4 linked regions of the Coturnix japonica genome follow. The protein of the gene in region 2 purifies or fractionates together with the protein of the main gene of each other region. This does not show direct contact. Links are inferred from orthologs where the notes say so. Each region holds a gene or a part of one and is shown on either strand. Other genes may lie near its edges. The genes, in order: FBXW11, NFKB2, MAP3K14 and FBXW7.

Region 1 (4,541 bases), on a different chromosome or scaffold from region 2:
CGCATGTTCAAATACCATCATCTCCCCAGGAAAAAACAGGAATTTCAATCTTACACATGCACCTAAAAAAAAAGGACTCCGTTCTTCAGGAACAAATAGCTTTGTTGGTTGGTTGGTTGTCTTCAGGGCTGCAACAGATTTTAAACCATTTGATATTAAAGCTATCAGACGAGGAGGGGAAGGGAGATACCTTCACACAGCACTGCCACCATCAGGAGCCGTTTTTAGCCTTCTGTACTTCGTCACGTTGGGTTCATCTTGGGGAAGGGAAGACGTCGCAGTAACACGTGAATGGGAGTTTAACACTGACCCCAACACTTCTCAATGTGAAGAGGAGAGAACCTTACAGATGCTCTGCTGTACCACCCTGGCAATGTCTTGATTCACACTTTCTCTGAGCTGGTTTGACACAAAGTGATGCCTCCCTGCACTCAGGAACCTGACAGCCCTCAGCCTTCCTGATGGTCCGGAGGAGAAACTCCAACCCAACAGAGTGCAGCCAGGGGACACAAACACACAACGATCCGTGGTGATCCATCCCTGTGCCAACACACGTCTTCACCAGGAAAACGGGAGCACTCCATGCTGAGATTGACTGAAGCACTGAAGAAAAGCCAGCAGCAGAGTCACACACAGCTAACGAAGGTACGATATTCAAGTCTGCATCTGTCCACGGCTTACTCCAATGTAAGAGAAATGCAGTAGCGTTCATGTGAGCACATAAATTAGAGGGGAGGCTGAGACAACATAAAAAGGAACTACCGAGATTCCCAAATAAAAGCATGCTAACAAAGAGAAACCATGACCAGGACGCTGCAATATGGTTACAGCTGAGAGCTACGGGTAAGGAACCCTGCAGGGCGATCAGAGCATTGACCTGAAGGGTCCTCCACCATGAGGAAGGGTTACAAACTGAACATAAATAAACTTCGCTTTGGCCCATGGCACCTCCTCCACTGAGCAGCCAAACTAATGCTAAAGGACGTCAGCAGGCGGCCGTGAGAACCTACTGGTGGTAAAAGAAAGACAACTGTAAATACTGCGGCACAAAATATAAGATACAGAACATAAATTAAACTTCTTCTTGGTTTGTCTGTTTTTTCGGTTTTTTTTAATTTTTAAAAAGTTTAGAAATTACATTTTAAAATACGTAGTTCCCATTAAAAAAATCCTAACGAATACTGAAAACCTCCTTTTTGCAGAGAAAATGTCTAGGTAATTCATATTAACCCCTACAGTGCCAGTAGTTAGAACATCCTGCTGCCAAGTGCTACCACAGCTTGCGTTAGTGTGCAGTGCCAGGAAACCCTGACTCCCAGCACCCGGAGGTTACACTGTTATGTACATCATATCTACATGCTTATACAGTATTTGAAATGAGGCAAGCACACACGGAAAGGTTTTTACTATACCAAACATTAGGAAGCGCAGGACGGCTGTCGTACAGAGCACAGTTAAAAGGAAAAGACGGTGCTATACAACTAGTTTAGATAACCTAGCCTGAATTACAGGAAATCTTTAATTTAAAAGAAATTATCGGAGCAGAAACAAGTAAACTGTAATCCAAAAATATTACTGAGCAATTCAGAAATATTTCTAAGAGTCCAACGTACACTCTATCAAACAAACCAGGCTCTGAATCTGCCATAAGAGCAAAGTCTAAAGGACAGCGATGACTTTGAAAGCAAAGCTCTGTACATTCTGGGTATGTGTTTGGCACCCAAATTTCATCGGAGAATGTTTTTTTTCTTTAAAGTCAGACAAAAGTGCAAAGCAATATAAATTAGGCCAAGTCCTTTCTTGACGTCTGATTTATTTCTGAAAAACAAGCCATCTGAGTTCAGGTTCTACGGACAATATACATGTGAAGCTTTGGATTTCTCACTGCAGGGAAGGGAAGGCTTCTGAAATTCATCTACTCGAAGTCAGTGAATTTGTAGTAAATTCAAAGACGACCACTGAGAGCAGGAAAGATTAAGAAATTTAGATATAGAATCGTGCTGCTTTGCATCTACACAGCATCTAGAACCAATTCTGACTTTAGCTGTCGATCAACATCTTCAGGCATGTAGGAGCCAAAATCCAGTAGTTCAAGACTGTGAAACCCTGAAAGAGACAAAAGACAAACTGAACTCACAGGACACGCAAGTCAAAAAGCACCTTTTGGAGACATACGGAGAAGGTTAAGCACCATCTTAGGCACTCCAGGCTGAAACTACAAAACACCTGTGAGGAGTACAGTGCTTATCATGTGAAGGAGGTACACAGCTTTAAACCATTCTGTGTTAGAAGTCCTTCCTCCAAGGATGGATGGATGGAACATGGGACACTGCCTTTGCTGCAGAATATGTTCTGAACATTTGAGCATCTTTCTTACATACCTTTGGGGGAACTAAAAGTTGAACCACCTGCTCATCTTGCTAAATGCTGAGCACTTAATTGAAGGAGTGACAACGGAACCTTCCTTCCCCCCATGCTGCAGAGGAACAAGCTTTGCTCAGGATATAAATTTCACTTCCAGTAAATGGGATTTTAAGAAAACACAACACACCAAAACTAGTTTTAGACTCCGTTTCCCCCATCCAGTCACATCATGTAAATATTTGGCATAATTAAACCCAAATTTCAGTCCTACTTGCCACTTTTTAAAATCACTTTTCTGGACTATGGTGAACCACCCCGTTCTGATATGAAATTGCCAAAGGTTAAAACATCTTTAGACATTAACCAATGGCTTCCCTTCCCCCTAACACAAGACCTAGTGCTTAATATAAGAATATCAGACTATCATATGGTAACAATTTTTATCATGTTACAATAAACAACAGGAATTCAACAGAAAGCAATAAAACTCTCACAGCCAACTGCCAGGACTGTCAAAAATGATCCGCTTTGAAGAGGCACAACATTGCAAGCCTTGTAAAAAACCAAGGGCGCGGGGCTGTTTCAAAACACAGAAAACTATAATGTTTGAAAGCATATAAAACTGTTTCATTAAGTGTCATAATGAAATATTAGCTGTTTGACCATAATTGTATGTAGATTTATGCTTTGTGGATTCTGATTTCAGAAAAACCCTTCAGAAAATGATATCACAGCATCTCTCCTGTACAGGAAACATCATTAAGGGACAGTCATTTATCAACACTAGCAATTCCTTGGATCATATCCCTGCGTGTTTTCAGTTGTGCATCACAGGACAAGTCAGACATAAGCTGCTAAAAATTGTCAAGTGTGCAGAATTTGAAAGGAAGAACACACCGCCAAAGGCTCTTCATATTTCACCCACTGATCTCCTTGACAGCAGATCTTGCAGGTCACAGGTGGCAAGAAAGAAGATAAGTCACCAACATATTCCTCTTGCGCTTAAGACAAACCACGTATAGCTTTTCCATAAATCAAAACTAGTAACCATTCAACTCCAACAAGCCTCGGAGTTTCCACAGTAAAAGTTCACCTAGGTATTGCTCCATGTGGCACAGCAGCCAACGGGAGCATCTCTGTCTATAGGGTATGGGGACACAACCAGTGATGGCACCAAGCTTTCCGCAACAAGAACACAACTATGCCACACAGGTGAAGTGATAAACTTATATATGTGAAGAGACAAAGACTTACCTTCTGAGGGTAGTAAAGTGCAGACTGTTATCTGGAGATGTAAGTGTATGTTCTAGATGGAGAGCGAGTCTCGTTTGGGGCACTGGGTGGCACGTTTAAGAAATCCCAAATCAGAATTGTATCGTCATGGGAACTACTAATGATCTGAAATTCATCAAACTGGAGCCTAAAGACACGTCCTGAATGTTCCTGTGAGTAATGGACATCAGTTAGGAGGCCAAGAAGAGGATAACAATTCATTATGTTTGTACTCAGACCTGGATGCAGAATGGTGTATTAAAATTTTGGTGCTCTGTTTAAGAAGCCCTTAGTTATAATCACACTTGACTCTAAAGAAAAGCAGTTTTCATACATAAACGTTGTTCAGCATAACACACAGCTTTCAAATAAAGTACTCATAAGCCCTGCCTCTCCCCTGCAGGGGCCCACTGCACATGTTGAGGCTGACATTATTAAGACTAACACAGTCTATCAGGAAGCATCGATCTACAAAGACTGGCTGGCAATAACGGTCCACACCAGGGGTTCCATCTTACATAACATTTCACATTCAACACTGCTGCTAACCCAGTTTTTGTACACATCATGGCTTCACCTAGGACACACTGCTCAAATCCTCAAATTAATTAATTAATTATACATACCACTAACGTACGCAAGCATAATGTACTTGCTGGGGCACGGGGGTCAAGAGCAGCTTGCAAGTCCCAAACTTTAATTTTGCTATAAAGAAAGATAAGAAGGTTAAAAGCATTGTTTCAAGTGTAAGCACAGAAACTTCTAAAAGCAATGGACAGAATATTCCAGATCTTCCCTCCAGCTGATTTATCAGCATCGAGCAAAATGTTATAATTTATCTTCACTAATTTACTAAAGCTGAATCCCATAAAACACGGGCAGTTTTGTATTTCTTTTAAGCAGCA
Region 2 (5,205 bases):
CCACCTCGATGCGCGCCATCCCCTCGTAGTTGCAGATCTGCAGGGATGAAGGAGCTGAGGCACAAAGCCGGACCTGGGGCTCCTCAGAGCCTGGCTCACATCCTCCCTCCTCCGAGCATCGTCCCGGCCCCTGGGTGCACTGCCAAGCGGTGCAGTGCTCACCTTGACAGTGGGATAGGTCTTGTGCCCCTTCTCGCTGGAGGCTCCTGGCAGCCCCCCGTGTGAAGGGCCCTCGCAGCCGTACCGAAATCGGAAGCCCCGCTGAGGAAAGCAAAGCAGAGCTCAGCATGACGGCAGCAATGGGAACCTGCCCTGCAGCAGTGACAGCTCCGCCTGCTCTCGCCCCAGTGCCACCCTCACCTGCTTCGGCTGCTCGATGATGACCAGGTAGGGGCCGACTGCTGGAGGACCAAGAGAAGAGGCGCTGATGAACCCCAGCAGATGGGGCACAGCGGGGCCAGGTGGCACAGCCCTGCTCTGGAGCGTAGGGCTGGGCTCCCAGCCAGCCCACACCAGGGACAGGGGAACACGGGGCTGCTGCGAGCCACCCAAGGGGACACAGCGCTTACCTGTCTCCATCAGGGGCTCCTTCTGCTCCACCATGTGGGAGCCAAAGCTGAAGTCGTCGTAGTCAATTCCATCCAGGCACTGGGAAGGAAGGGCAGCGTGAGCTGCAGGGCTGGACCCCCCCGGCCGAAAGCAGACCGCACGTAGCTCCCCACTTCCCAGGGACGAGGGGGATCAGACACAGAGCGCCCATCTCACGCCCACCCGGGGTCCGCCGAGCCCAGCCCGAGCATTAGGACGGACAGGCGGACAGACAGGACGGCACGCGTGCACACGAGCGGACAGACGGCGCCCCGCGGGACCCCCCGGCCGCACTCACGGGCTGGAAGTGCTCGTCCATGTCGCTGCGGGGCCGGCCGCCGGCCTGCGGGAACGGCGGGCGCGGAGCGGGGCCGGCGGCGGCAGGAAGGCAGAGCGCTCCGGAAAGTCCCTAGAAACCCCGCGGAGCCGGGAAATGACGGCCCCGCGCGTCACCGCCCCGCCCCGCCCCGCCGGCTCGGCACGGCCCCGCGGCCACCGGCGGCCGGAGGGCGGAGCGGGGCGGGGGCGAAGCGGGGCTGTTCGGGCGCGGGGCGAGTCGCTTCCAGCCCTCCCGAAACACCCGGGGAGTTTTGGGCGCTGAGCGGGAGGATCGCAATCACTCAGCGGCGGGGCCCCGCGGGGGCAGCCCCGGGAGGGCTGGAAATCCCGACGGCGCCTCCGGGGCTCGGCCCCGCGCCCGCAGGGACGCTCCATCCTCGGCTCACGGCGCTGCCCCGCGGCGCGTCCCGGGCACGGCACGGAGCGGCTCCCCCGGACGCGACGGGTCCCGCGTAAGGGCGGCCCCGCCACCTCCCTCCCCTTCGAGGGGCCGCGGCCGCCGTCTGCCAGCCGCCTCCCCATCCCTCCTCCCCGCTCTCCCAGGGCCCACCCCGCACCCGCAGCCCGGCTTACCGTGCCGGAGGCGGCCGGCCGCAGCAGCCCGTCCAGCCCCAGCATCGCCGCGGGCACCGCCGGGTCAGGGTTTGCCGCAGGGAATCGCCGCGGAGATCGGGCAGAGGGCACGGTCAGGGCAGCGCGGGGTGAACTCGCTTCCTCCGCATCCCTTCTCCTCACTGAGCAAGGAAGGAAAAAGAACGATCTGAGTCCGCCGTGCCCTCATACCACGATTTTCTGAATCAGTGGCTGCCGCAGGTCCCGCTCAAGGGGATTTTGGGTGTGTGGGAGACGGGGGGAAGGAAGGGGATTGTTCAGCTCGTGCGTGACTCATATTCTTCGGAAGCTGCAAAGCGCTTCTTCCAGGAGATTCTCCGGCCCCCTGGGCCTCCAGGGGCTGCCCTGTGTCCCAGCCCAGAGGTGCAGCTCGGGCAGTGTCTTAGCCCAGGTGTGGGGCCGGGGGACATTCCTTGGGCCGCTCCCAGAGCCCGAGAGCACAGCACGTTCTTGGCCCTGCACCGGTGGGGAGCTCCACACCTGCTTGGGATCCTGCCCCTGCACCCTCAGCCCCCAGAGCTGTTGGCACGGATGTCACAGAGATGAATGAGGAGAAGAGTATCCCTGCACTGCAGCATCACGCCCAATGGGCCCATGGGAAGGGCCCGCTGTGCCCTTCACATGCAGCAGTTCTCCTTTCTCTGTCCCTTCCTGAGGGGCTTTCACAGATTGCTCAGCACTGCCCTCGTTGCAGCACACAGCACAACAAGGTGCAACACAGGGCAGCCCTTTCCTCTGTCCAGCCCACGACTCACTCCAGAGGTTTCCCTTTCCTGCGCCCATGTGTCAGGAGAAGCTGGAACACCTGGCTCGTAAGCAGGGTCAGGGGCAGCTTCATTTCCTTGTTCCTGGAAGCCACACAGCTCAGCCCGGCTCTCAGGCAGGGGGCTGCCTTCTGCACTGAGCAGCCCCAGCCATCAGAGGCCCCAATCTCCCCCTGCATGGCCCCACGGGAGCCCACTTCCCTCCTGCCCCACATCTTCAGGCCTTCCCACAGCTCAGGTGCCCAGGCCTGCTGCTGCCCCGTGCAGATGCTGTTCTCTTCCCTCCCGTGACAGCTGCTGTGTTGGGGCCCTGCAGGCAGGACAGCTCCATGTCTGTCGGTCTGGCTGCCAGCAGGGATGTGCAGCAGCCCCGGGAAGGTGCTCCAGGAGCACAGGATACAGCAGGAGTGCTCCGACCCACGCTGGCATACAGACACCGTGCTGCAGCCCCCACCCTGGGCCACTCCTCTGCCATTTTGCTCCCCAGGAGCCGCCTGAAGTCACAAATCACGGCCCTAAATTCCCAACCTCGTGCTGTCTGCACAGCTCCAGGCTCAGTTCCATCGCAGCTATGTGCATCTATGGCCACCAAACCCTCAGCCCACTGCCCACCTCCAGCACAGAACCACCTGAGCGCAGTTCTCCCACAACAGCCGAGTTTGTTCGATCAAACCCCGGCCGCACAGCGATCAGCCCCGTCCGCCCTGTTGCCGTGTGCCCGCACAGCCCGCAGAAGCCGCTCCTGGTCCCGCATTACCCTCAGGTCCGCTGCAGCATCGGCCCCCGAGGCAGCTTTGGTGCAGCGCTGCGGGGCCCCCGTCCGACAGCAGCACCCACCGCGCTCAGCAGGGAGACACGCGACCTTCCCCGGGGCAGCTCGGCCGTCCAGCACCGACCCCCCCCATCTCCCCGCTGCCCACCCCGCAGTACGGGACCGGCGCAGCTTCTCCCGTCCGCCCCGTCCGCCCCGCCGCTCACCCCCGACCCCTCGCGGCTGCCGCTGCCCCGGGAAAGTCCCGTCCCGGCTCCGCCTCCCGGGGCTTCCAGGCCCGCCCCGCACGCAGGGACACGGGGACACGGGGCGGAGCGCAGCCGGCCCGTGGGGGCCTGCGGGGCTGCGGTTGGTTCGGTTGTGGTTCGTGCATTGTTGGTAACTTTCATTCTTTTTTTTTTTTTTAATATATTATATATAAAAAATCCTCTTTAACTACACGTACCGGTGGGTTCTAGGCCGATTGTGAGCTGGTCGGGAAGCACAACCTGATCAACGCGCACAGCAGCAGCAACCACCCCTCTCGAGGGACAGGAAAAACTATATAATATGTGTATGTACACATATATATATATACATATACATAGCTCTATGTCCACACACACACACTCGTTGCTCTCCCACGAGCCCAGGGGACGGCAGAGGCCACAAAGGACTCACTCACCCTGGGCAGACCCCAAGCAGCTGCAGACCTGCAAGGCCTCCCATGCTGGCTTATAAGGAGCGTGGAATGGGCACAGACAGCCCAGGGAAGCCACTGGGCACAGCCTGGGCAGTGGATCCTGATTGCACCCGGCAGCTGAAAGGAGGCAGGGCCAGCCCCTGTGCAGGGACATGGGCTGCAGCCCCAGGTGGGAGGGCAGGTACCGAGCACCATGTGCACACACACACACACACACACACACACACACACACACCCAGAGGCACTAGGGTGGGAGACGCTCGTGGCACGGAGCTCAGAGCATGGGCAGCCCCTCCGCGCCAGGCAGGCTGTCCTCCCCTTTGTGGCTCTTGGGGGCCCGGCTGGCTCTCAGCAGCACCAGAAAGGTGTCTGTAGAGATGGCCCCGAACTCAAAAGTGAAGGTGCCATAGAAGACCAGAACGTCAATGATGAACACCCACTCGCACAGGGCGGCCACGTGCTGCAGAACAAAACTCTCCTGGATGAAGAACACACCGCCCGAGGACACGCTGGTCAAGGAAAGTATGGCCACATCCCAGGTACACACAGAGTACAGCGCCCTCTGCAGCAATCCCACCACCTCAAAACTAAACCCACCCCTTAGTCCCCTCCAACCCCTGCCACCTGCACTGCTCCCCAACCCATTCCCAGCCCCTGTACAGCCCTGCATCACAGCACTGCCCCTGCACAGGGCTGCACAGTCTGCAGCCCCAGTGTGGACCAAGGGCCGTGCCCTGCCTGCAGGCTGCTGTGGTTTTCCTGTGCTGGGCACCTGCACAAAGTGCTTCTGTGCTCCGCTTGGGTCAGCCTCAGCTCTGTCAGGGCACTGCTATAGCTAATTCAGGATGTGCATTACCAAGGGCTCAAAATACCTGTTAATACAAACAGCTCGTTCCCCACTCCACCCAGCACAGGGCTGGAGCCCTGCCAGGCTGCCATACCCCCAGACCACACGGCATCAGGCTGGAGCCTGGCCTCACCTGGGCCCAAATGGCCAGGAGAAGGATACTGAAGATGAGTGTGACGAAGGCCACGGCGGTGAGGATGCTGCGCAGGTGGCCTGTCCAGTAGTGCCCGTGGGTCTTGGCTGCACGGTACGTGAGGACGGACTGCAGGAAGACGAACAGCATGCTGGTGGGGAAGGCCACCCCCGCCCCAATGTAGTGCAGCACCTTGGCGTGGTCCACCTGTGGGCACAGTGTGGGCACAGTGTCATGTTCCATGTCCCCCATCCCAGCCTGGCTCACTCCCACCCCGCAGCCTTACCTGGAAGTTGCCCACCATGGTGAGCCCAGCAGCACAGAGCCAGCCTGCAGCCAGCCCCAGGGTGTTGAGAAGCGATGGCCCAATGCGCTCCAGGACGTGGGCGTACCTCAGCAGCCCCACCAGGATCACTGCGGGATGGAGAGCACCTGTCTGCACCAATGGCAGCAAACCCTGATGCTCGG
Region 3 (5,067 bases), on a different chromosome or scaffold from region 2:
CGGCCTCGTGCAGCCCTTTGGTGGCACTGAGCTCCTGCTGCTGCTTGGTGGGCGGAGCGGGAGCTCCATGGCACACAATCCCCATCACTGCCATTTCACAGCTTCACAGCCCCTAATGAGGAATGGGAAAATAAAAGCACAACACTCATTATAACACCTCCCAGGCAAAGCAGCTCCACACTCGGGAGAAAAAGAAGCCTGCCCACGGCGTCCATTAACACTGATCCAATGCAAAGCAAGGCTCGACGCAGCGCTGAGCATGGAAGCCAAGACAAACCCACCCCCACCAGCTCCCACGCGGGGCTGTACCCCATCATCACAGCCACCCCTGCCCCTTCTCTACAGAAATCAAGGCAGATCTCAGGGCTGTAAAACAATCCCTCGGAGCAGCAGAAGCCGGCAGCAGATGACTAACAGTGAGCCTGCAGCGCACACCAACAGGCTCAGAGCTATTTTTACACTCACTGCTGCCCCGTCTGCATTAACTCTGTCCCTCCTTGCCCTCTCCTCACCTTCAGGGGCTGCAGAGCAAAGCCCTGCCCACCCCTGAGAGCGCGCAGCTCTGCAAGGTGCTCCTCGGTTAAAAGGTAATAGAGGGAGGGGAGATGTGGAACCGCAACCGCCTGATAAGGAAAGGAGCAGCACGGGAACATCGATGGGAGTGAAATCTGAAGGGGGAACCTCACTGGGCAGCACACAAAGCTCATGTGGGTCGATGGGGCACTGTGGGCTCCGGAGCTGCCAGCTCCAAGCACTGCCATCCAACCTGCAGGCTTTACAGGACCCCAAAACCAATGTGCAGCTCAGAGCACCTGGGAGCTGTGATGAAAAGGAACCGATGCAGAACTTCTACATAATGGCTGCAGCAGATGAGCAGCTCAGGATGGACCACGCAGCACTGAGCCCCATGATGCTCCAATGTAAGTGCTGTGAGCTGTGAGCTGTGCCCCCCATCCTGCCCTCCTGCACTGAGCGCACCTGGCGCTGCGGGTCCCAGCTCTGCTGCTTTCAGAACCTCCTCTGGCTCATCCACATCACTGAGACTCAACTCTTGATTTCAGTACCCCTGGCTTCCTTCCTTCCTCCTGCAGATGTGTGCACGGGCTCGTGCTTTGCCAGAGGAAAAGGAGAGGTCAGGTAACGAGGCACTAAGTGAAGGCGAGCGCTGCAGCACCGATCCACGCAGGGCCCTGGATGGCAGCGGGAAGGGTTGTTGAGGAAGGCTGCAGCTCTCAGCCCGTTAACCAACGTCAGTTCTCACTGCTGTAAAATAGAAAGTGCAGTTGTACAGAACGAAAGCCGACATGGTATCAGTTGTGCTGCGGCAGCACCGGCACAGAGCTGACGGCTTCCGCTGGGAGCTGCATGGGGCTGCGGGGCACAGAGCAGTGCTGCGGGGCTTCCTGCTCCTTCCACCTTCCCCCCAGCAGCTCCCCGCTGCCCCTTCCCACCCCAGCAGTGTCCTGCATTGCACACAGCTCTGCTCTCCCAATCTGAGTGTGCTGCAGCTGCTTCATGTTGACATTTCACGTCGTCTCCATGAGGTTTCCCACTTCCTTATTGAGAAGAGCGCGATGAGCAGCGCTGACTTGGGGACTCCACCAACACAACACAATGCCCTCAGCTCCAGCAGGACAAGGCTGGGCTGCCACGTTGGGGCTCCAGCCCAAACTCAGGCGGTTCCGTTCCCAGCAGCGTCAGCTCACAGCATGTTACTGCAGCGCAGAGCAGCTCCGTGCTGACGGGAGGGAGAAGTTTCGCTTTGTCTCAGTAGGGATTGAGAAAAGAAAGCTGCAGCGCTCAGCACACGCCCCTTGTCCTTAACTCACACACTGCGCACGCAAAGAGAGGAGAAAAGACTTCCTGGAGGTACGAGGAGCTCCGGGCTGGGAAGGAGCACAGGCTGCAGGGCAGCAGCCAGAGCAGGAGGTGCAATGCTGGGCTGCTCCTCACACTGTGCTGCCTCCTCTGTACGGTGCTGCCTCCTCTGCATGGTGCTCCCATGGCCTGATGGCTCCCATTGCCCTCCAGCTGTGCAGGACTCCCGGTGCTGTCAGTGAGGTTTGTTACAGACACCTCCTGTTCCACTGGTTTGATGGCAAGCACTGCAAGCTCCTATTTCTGCTTACCCTGGGATGGAGAGCACCAGTATCCACCCGGCCCTCCTGCAGCCGGGACACAAGAGCTGCAGGGAAACATCCGTGAGCAGAACTCCATGTACCAACCATCTGTCGCTGTTTCCCTCAGCACGAGTCCCTTCATGAGCAGAGATGTGAATGGCAGCGTGTCCCCATGTGTTTGATGCACTCAGCTTTCCCAGCTCAGAGCCCACCGCCAGCACTCTGCCCTGCAGCCCATGGGACACAGCTGCACCCGGCTGGGTCACCCCCAGCACCGAGTGGATCCGAACCAGCTCCGTGCTGTCAGCAGGGCCCAGCGCTCACTGTGACACCGCAGCACAGCCCGAGCCTTCCAACTCACACCTACAGACACCAAACAACCCCAAAGTTCTGCCCAGCTCAGCACACATGGAAGCTCCTCAGCGTTATAAGGGCCGGGTACCGGCCGGGCCGCCCTTCACACGCGCTGAGCCCGGAGCGGCCCAAGGGAAGCGGCGATCCCAGCTCGGCCCCGCCACAACGCGCCGCGTTTCACAGCTCGAAGCGGGTGAGTCACCAACGAGGAATTCAAAGGCAGCGCCACGACCGGGCAGCGGCACGGCCTGAACGGCGGCACGGCCTGAACAGCGGCACCGGCCCGAACGGCGGCACGGCCCGAACAGCGGCACGGCAACGGCACGGCACGGCACGGCCCGGCCCGGCCCGCCCCGGCCCGGCTTGAGGTAAGGCGCTCCTCGTCCCCGCCCCGCCCCAGGCCCACCCCGCATACCCCAGCCCCCTGCCCCGCTGACCCTGTTCCCGCAGCCCTCCCTCCCTCCCTCCCTCCCTCCGGTACCGGCCGATCTCGTCGCTCCTCCGCGCTCCGGTCTTCGGTGCCGCCCGCCCCGCACACACCCCGTCCGTCCCGCCGTCCGTCCCGCCGCTCCCTCACACTGACAGGCGCGGGCGCCGCCGGTCCCGCCCCATCCGCCTGGCAGCCAATCACCGCGCTCCGATCCTCCTCTTGCCCCGCCCATTCTCCTCCCGCTCCGCCCCGCAGCCAATCGCCTCCCTTCGTTTTCTCTCGCCCCGCCCCATCTGACCCGCGGCCAATCACCGCCCAGGATTCCCTCCCCGCCTCCCGGCCGGTTTCCCGGAAGGGCGGAGCTTCCGGCGAACAGCCCCGCCCACCGCCTCGTGCAGGTGGTACTGCGCACGCGCGGTTTGTGGGCGCGCATGCGCAGAGCGAGCGGTGGGCGGGGCGGAGCTGCGGGGCTGCGGGTCGGTGTGAGGGGGAGGGGCGGGTGGTGCCATGAAGGGAGGAGGGGCCGGGCTGAACGGGCCGGGCTGAACGGGACGGGCACGGAACCAATAATGCTGCGGCACCGCCCCCCCCCCCGGCTGTGTAGCACAAACTGCTCCCGTGCCCCGCAGCTCCACCTTTGTGCCCTGCAGCACCTAGCCCATATCCCCACATATCCCCCATATCTCCCTATATCTCCCCATATCTCCCCATATCCCCCCATATACCCCCCGTGTCCCCCCGTGTCCCCCCATATCCCCCCCCATAGGACCCCTGTGACCCCATATCCCCCATTATCCCCTATATCTATATCCCCCATATTCTCCTCCGTGTCCCCATATCCTCTGTGTCCCCATATCCACCTCCCGTGTCCCCTTGTCCCCCCATATCCCCCCATATCTTCTCCGTGTCCTCATATCCCCCCTTATCCCCCTATATCCTATATCCCCCCATATCTCCTCCGTCTCCCCATATTCCCCTCTGTGTCCCCCTCTGTGTCCCCATATCCCTCCATATCCCCCCAGTGTCCCCATATCCCCCCCGTGTCCCCTTGTTCCCCCATATCTCCTCCGTGTCCCCATATCCCCGCCCAGTGTCCCCTTGTCCCCCCACATCCTCCCATATCTCCTCCGTGTCCTCATATCTCCCCATATCCCCCTATCCCCCATATCCCCCCGTGTCCCCATATCTCATCTGTGTCCGCGATCCCCCCGTGTCCCCATATTCCACCATATTCCCTCCGTGTCCCCATATCCCCCGGTGTCCCCATATCCCCCTCCCTGTGTCATATCCACCATTACCTTCGATGTCCCCATATCCCCCCCGTGTCCCTATATCCCTCCATATCTCACCATATCCCCCTCCCCGTGTCCCCATATCCCCCGTGCCCCCATTATATCCCCTATTACCCCCATTATATCCCCATCACACACTGGACGCCGCCTGAGGTTTGCGGCGGATTCTCCCGCTGTCCCGGCTCTGGGCGCAGCGTTACGGTCACAAACTCAGCCCCCCCCTCCGCTCCGAACGGACCCTCCGGCGATAACGGAGCTGGTTCGGACCGTGGGTGTCGGCAAAGAACTCGCAGCGTCCGCTGCTCACAAAGGGAACACGGAGAAGCGCTGCCTCGCGGCGGGGTTTTCAATGCAGGGACGGACGGAGCGGCCCAACTCCGGGTTGTGCTGCAGGGATCGAAGTTCGGGGCGAACGCGAACGGAGCGAGAGTGAGAACCGCTGTTACGGTGCGCGATGAACCGGCTGCATCCGCTCCTCCGTGAGCAGCTCACCGCGGTCACAGCGTTACACGGGGATGGACGGGGCAGCAAATGGCCCAAAGGTTTCACTTCCCGGCTCACACGGGCGGGTCTGACATCCACCCCCACGCGTGGGGCGCAGCTTTGGATGCTGCATCGTGCAGGGCTTTAACGCCGGGTTGGCGAACATCGTGGTGCTGCATGGACAGACCTGGTGCTCCCTCGGGCTCCCTGGAGGTCGTGTCGTGTCGTATCGTGTCGTATCGTGTCGTGTCGTGTCGTGTCGTGTCGGTGCTCTTTAGAACAGCGCTGCTCTGTGTTTGCAGGCGCTCCGTCACAGCTCCTCCCTCCCCAAGGCAGAAGCAGCGCTTCATGCAGGTCGCTTTCATTCCCACTCGCTGTGATCCTCACT
Region 4 (5,296 bases), on a different chromosome or scaffold from region 2:
CTTGAGGGGCCCAAAAGGCAGCAGCCATTCCTGGCGCTGGCAGCAGCTCCTGCCTTTGCTGCTCCCAAAGTGCTGCGTCCCTCTTGATCTGCTCTTGAGATGCCGTGGCTCTCAGCCCCCTGCTCTGCCCATTGAAATTCTGCCAGCATCCCATCCTTGGCACCGCTCCCAAAGTCAGCACTGAGAGCATCGCTAGCGTGACTGCTAACAGCTTTAACATGAGGAGGAAAGGAAAACGAGAGAGGAGTTTGGAGACTCGGATAAGCTCAGCCATCTGTTTGTGATACGCGGGAAGAGAAGAATCAGGTAAACAAGGGTATGGCAAGGGATAAAGAAACATCCAGCAAAAGATGACGGGGAGGCAGAAGCAGCTGCTGGAGCGGAGGAGCAGATGGGAAGAAGATAGCAGGCAATTGGAAGGCATTTAGCGTGGTGAGATGGCCTCTGGCCTGGCTGCCTTAAAGGGCAGAGCAGCGTCTGCCTGCACAGCCCTGGGGACAGGCTGACATGGCACACATCAGCACGCAGAGGGTGGGGAATGCCAGGGGTGAGTAGCACAGCCCATATGGAATTTGCTCTTCTGTGTTTTAGGATAACAACACGACCAAGTGCTTTTTTATTGTATTTTTTATTTTTCCCCATATGCTGTGAGACTTTCTGGCGCACGGCCACCTCACACGCTTAAGGAGCAGTTATTAAATCCTTTTATTTTTTGCTACCTTCCATAATGCAGACTAGGTGAACTCGTTAAGGTCCCATATAACGACCGCCCCGTCACAGACGGCAGACACTGCTGGAACTGCTATTGGGCTTGAGATGTAGGGACACGTGCAAGCATTGCTCTGATGACAACTCGCTGACACACGCTGCAGACCGTGGGTCGGTCTCCATAGCAGCGCCAACGCGCGGCCCTCCCGGCGGCGGGGCGGGGGCACGCGCACGTGCAGGCGTGCAAGGCCTTAGCACCTCCCCGCCCACCGCTCCGCGCTCTCTCTGTCTGTGGCTCCGCCCCTCGCGGCGGGAAGGAGGCGCGTCCATCCCGCGCGCAGCCGCCGTGCTCGCTCGGTGCCTCGCGGCGCCGCCTCCTTGTCCCGGGCTGAACCGTGCTGCCGCGGCGCTACCTGCAGGGCTCCACCTTGCCCTCCGAGCGCGTCATCGCCCCGCGCCGCCACGGGGAGAGAGCGGGCGGGGCGTGTTGCCGGGTTACGGCTGTCATCCGCGCGCGCCGCCGCGCTGCTCGCTCGTTCGCTCCCTCTCTCTCTCTCTCCCTCTCTCTCTCTCTCTGTGCTGCCCGCCCGCCCGCTCTCCCCGCCCCCTCTCGCCGCCGCCACCGCGAGCAGCGGACCCCGGGGCGCCCCCCGCGCCGCCCGCACATGCCGCAGAGCGCAGCGGCCGCGTTGCCGCTCCCCGCCGCCCGGCTGGGCCTCTAGCGGCCCCCCCGCCGCTGCAGCCGGGCCCGGAGTGCATGAGAGGGGGAGCGGGCCGGCGGCGGCCCCAGCCACTCGCCTCCCGGCCGGCCGCGGCGGCGGCGCAGCGCCCGGCCCGGGGGGCAGCGAGGGGCGGCGTCGGCCCCATGTGAGGAGGGGCGGCGCCGCTGCCGCCCAGCCAGCCCGGGGCCCGGCCCCGACAGCGCCCCGCCGCAGCGGGGCTGGACGCGGCCGCCCCCGAGAAGCCGCCCGGGGCCCCGCGGCGCCGGCAGCCCCGGGGCGGGGGGCGGCGGCCGGTCCCTTCCTTACCGCCGGGCGGGCGGGCGGGCGGGCGCGCACGGAGGCAGCCGAAGGACAACCCGCAGGAGCACGGCCCGACAAGTGAGTGAGTACCCGGGAGGGGGGGCACCTCTCCGCCGTTCTTTGTGTCCGGCGGCGCGGCGCGGGACGCCGAACAAAGAACGTGGCCGGCGGGAGCGGGGCCGGGCCCGCCTCGTGTGCTCGGGAGGGGGAACCTGCGGCACAACGTGCCCGGTCGCAACGAGCGGCCACCGAGTGCGGTGTGCGTGCCGCGTGCTCGTGCGCTTTTAAAGCCCGAAGTTGGCGCTTTGTGAAGAACTTCTCTACAAGTGATCTGCCCGTGAGGCTGGGGAGCCGCTTCTGGGGCCATCCCGGTCTATGGGGATGGGTTTTGTGGGTTTCTCCTTTTTCCCTTATTTTTTTGCATTTTTGCAGACTATGATTTTCCTCTGAGCGGAAACAACAAGAACCCCCAAAACAAACAAACATAAAACCACCCCAAATCAATAAAAAAGGAAACAAAACCAGAATTGCTGTAGTGGACTGCCTTGTGCTTAACCGGAGAAGATAACATGTAGTTATTCAGTGCAGAAAGCAAGCTCTGTCCATCCCTTCTGAGTTTTGTTCCTCCTGAGTTTACTCTCACACACCGCTGTCTCACCTGGGAGAGCAGCTCAGGTGCTGTTTGTTTGCAGTGTTCAGACACAGGTGCAGGAGCCAGTTCTGCCCAAACTGCTCGTTGTGTGTTTGCCATTGGCCCTGGTTCCTGTCTCCAGCCTGGGAAGCAGAAGGGAATGCAGAGGTAGGCAGTGCCCCACACGTGTGTCGGCTTCTCTTTGAGATGTAACTTTCTGGCAGATGGGAAGAGTCTATTTTAGGCCAAGATATCTCCCTGTCTTAAGCTCCTTGTTGTCATTGCAGTCTTAAAAAGGTGTGTGCCTGTGTGTGGGGGGAAATGAAGTCTCCGTTTAGATGAAGTTTTGCTTTTCTTGCCCCAGGAGCCAGAGGTTGGGAAAGGAGTTTTCCTTCAGGTCACGGTGCTGAAGGGATGGTTGGTGCTTTTGTCCACTGCCTGTAGGAGTCAAAAGACACCGCATCTCCCCCTGCTCTGCTGTGGAGATTACATTTGCTTTTATGTCACTTCCTGGTTTCAAACTTAAATTTGCCCTTTGCTGTTCCGCTGTCCTGTTTCTAATAACATCCCCATGCTGCCTGTTGGCAGCCCCAGAGCGTTCCTGTGGGGGTTCCAGGCACACACATATCTCAAGAGAATATATGGCATCATGCTATTAAAATGTTTTTTTGGGGGGTTTAGGTAACTTTTCCTATTCTAGCTCATATCTAATCAGAGCAATTCTACTAGCATCTGTTGCACTAGCATCTGTTTGGTAGCAGAGATATTCCTTTTCAGAAGGTGCATGAGTTCGGTCTGTATCAGCTTTTTAGAGGGGCTTTAGAAAAAGATGTCATTTATATCTTCAGACTGACTCTCAGATCAAGTTCTTTCTTCCCCCTGCGTATGCATGCTTTACTTTGAAGAAGAACTTCAGTAGGATTTCTTCTCTGAGCTCTCAGGATTGGAACGTGTGTGGTGGTTTAGGCCCGCTGATGTCATTGAACCAAGTTCTGTCTCTTTAAGGAAACCAAGCATCTTTTAGTCAGCGTTAGTCATGTAGTCTGTGTGAAGTTCAGGCTGCTCTTAGCAAATGTGTTTAATCTTTTCACTGTTCCTCTTAAGAACACAGTCACACTGAGTTTACGTGCATCACATTTGAAATGAAAGTGCTGTTAAGCTGAAAAAGCTGAAGTATCTTCAGCTTTCTTTGATGCAAGTTGTGTGTATCAGGTAATTCCTGGAAGAGATGACATGAAATGCTTGTAGTCACTCCTGCCAATACTCTTCTGTGTTAAAAGGACTGTAGCTATTTGCAGAAACTGGGGGGTGAGTCTGCACTAACACATCTCTCATAGTTGCTCGATAGACTGAGGATGCTTACGAGGATTCTACAGACCTGTGTCAGCAGAGATGCGAGATGTTTGTTTGATGAGGGCTTGTACACATGCAAGTTTAGAAATCAGCTGATTGTTAACAAAATTCTTGGTCTTGCGGTTTGGTGGCACAGCCGCTGGTGCTGCTGGAAGCTGTGCTGGCTTAAACCAAAGGCTGGCTGGGCCCGCTGCCCTGCGGTCACCCCTGTGTGAGCAGCAGCGTGCGCTGCTGGCTGCTTTCCTCACGGCACCCTGCCCATGCCTGTCCCCTTGTGGCTTTGGCTGCTTCGTTCTGGGCATCCAGCCTCGTGGTGGCTTGTTCTCATGTGAATGGGGCTTGGAGGGAAGAGGAGATATGGTTTATGTAAGTAAGCGCTTCCACTTGTCAGCCCATATCTCTGAAGTTTATGCTTAAAAAATCCCCCGCGCCCTTCTCTTTGAAATAGTGGTTATCTTATGAGAGTTCTACCGAAATTATTCATGATGTCATGTCTTAAGGTATGAGCAGGTATCTTACTCTGTTACTAACTCAACATGTTACCATCAGCTAGAGAGCCTGGTGCTACAGCTTGGCTAGTAAGAGGAGATGTGAAATACTTCTTGTTCAAAACAAATATGTTTAGCTCAGATCATTTTTGCATTGTGAGCTGAGGTGGTTGGCTTCTCACTGAAGGATGAGGAGTCTGCATATATGCTTTTTCACTGGCAGAATACCGATGTGATTTCAGCAGTAAATGTTCAGGTGCAGGTTACCTATGGGAACAAGTTTTGTACTCAGACAGCTGTTCTGCTCCCTTCTGGGTCCCTCCAAGATGGTCAGTGGTGGTCACTGCTGACCAAGCCAGCAAAATTTGTTGAGTTATCTTGATCAACTGTAAATAGGGTTCTGGAATGGAGAGGTGTGGGATGTTCTGTCTGTATGCACTATTGCCAGTTTTGCCTCTAACTTTGGAGTTGTACCAGTATGGTGCATTTTGCAATGCAGTTCACTCACCCTCAGCTTTTGTAATTTTCTTTGAAAAAGAAGAACACAAAAGGCAATTTCTACTTCTTCCTTTAAAAGTGCTTGCCAGATTTAAAACCCCAAATATATTGTTATGATGATGTAAAAAAAGGAGTGTCTTTAGTTCTTTCAGAAATGGTTTGATCTGTTTCTGATTGGTCTCAGGAGGCAGCTTTGTAGCCTCTGATATGAGTCAAGCCTCGTTACCTGTGATAGTCATAGGTGGGGGGTGAATTTAGTTTGTTATTGGCTTGAAATTGGGTACCTGTTTACAGCAAAGGGACAGCTCCAAGGCAGCTGATGTTGAGTAAAGCCTGCTGTTTGGAGATTGGGCAGCTGAAAATGGTCCGAACATGAATGTTTCCAAGTGCTTTCTTTCTTGGAAACATTTCAGTAGTATGGATTAGAACTATGGGTGTTTGAGCAAGTATTGTTTGGAGACGCAGTTCTTTCTTCTCCCCCTCTCATTCTCTGAGGGCAGGGCCTGCTGCTGAAGCAAGTCGCTTCATACAACACCCATCCCCTCACCAGGGTGTGAAAGCTGCCCAGGGGTGGAGCTGAGAGCTCTGGGGACCTG

The links.
Region 1: the proteins of NFKB2 (region 2) and FBXW11 purify together in Homo sapiens (affinity purification with mass spectrometry; 8 studies listed by BioGRID and IntAct, with this or other methods). This does not show direct contact. The link is inferred for Coturnix japonica from reciprocal best matches to the Homo sapiens genes NFKB2 and FBXW11.
Region 3: the proteins of NFKB2 (region 2) and MAP3K14 purify together in Homo sapiens (affinity purification with mass spectrometry; 6 studies listed by BioGRID and IntAct, with this or other methods). This does not show direct contact. The link is inferred for Coturnix japonica from reciprocal best matches to the Homo sapiens genes NFKB2 and MAP3K14.
Region 4: the proteins of NFKB2 (region 2) and FBXW7 purify together in Homo sapiens (affinity purification with mass spectrometry; 7 studies listed by BioGRID and IntAct, with this or other methods). This does not show direct contact. The link is inferred for Coturnix japonica from reciprocal best matches to the Homo sapiens genes NFKB2 and FBXW7.

What each region holds. Positions count from the first base shown.
Region 1 is NC_029528.1:13,887,908-13,892,448, forward strand, and holds part of FBXW11 (F-box/WD repeat-containing protein 11), read right to left. Parts: intron 4,342-4,541; coding exon 4,263-4,341; intron 3,808-4,262; coding exon 3,646-3,807; 3' UTR 3,619-3,645; intron 2,107-3,618; 3' UTR 1-2,106.
Region 2 is NC_029521.1:14,448,679-14,453,883, reverse strand, and holds the start of NFKB2 (nuclear factor NF-kappa-B p100 subunit), read right to left. Parts: upstream 3,471-5,205; 5' UTR 3,282-3,470; intron 1,980-3,281; exon of another isoform or gene 1,662-1,979; 5' UTR 1,546-1,661; coding exon 1,501-1,545; intron 1,024-1,500; exon of another isoform or gene 908-1,023; coding exon of another isoform or gene 887-907; intron 649-886; coding exon 570-648; intron 402-569; coding exon 361-401; intron 262-360; coding exon 163-261; intron 38-162; coding exon 1-37. Other genes in the region: TMEM150A (transmembrane protein 150A), read right to left, coding at 4,032-4,255, 4,767-4,944, 5,024-5,151. UniProt on the Homo sapiens protein: NF-kappa-B is a pleiotropic transcription factor present in almost all cell types and is the endpoint of a series of signal transduction events that are initiated by a vast array of stimuli related to many biological processes such as inflammation, immunity, differentiation, cell growth, tumorigenesis and apoptosis.
Region 3 is NC_029542.1:892,039-897,105, forward strand, and holds the start of MAP3K14 (mitogen-activated protein kinase kinase kinase 14), read right to left. Parts: upstream 3,078-5,067; 5' UTR 2,956-3,077; intron 2,708-2,955; exon of another isoform or gene 979-2,707; intron 113-978; 5' UTR 95-112; coding exon 1-94.
Region 4 is NC_029519.1:29,877,032-29,882,327, reverse strand, and holds the start of FBXW7 (F-box/WD repeat-containing protein 7), read left to right. Parts: upstream 1-1,707; 5' UTR 1,708-1,808; exon of another isoform or gene 1,809-1,812; intron 1,813-5,296. UniProt on the Homo sapiens protein: Substrate recognition component of a SCF (SKP1-CUL1-F-box protein) E3 ubiquitin-protein ligase complex which mediates the ubiquitination and subsequent proteasomal degradation of target proteins.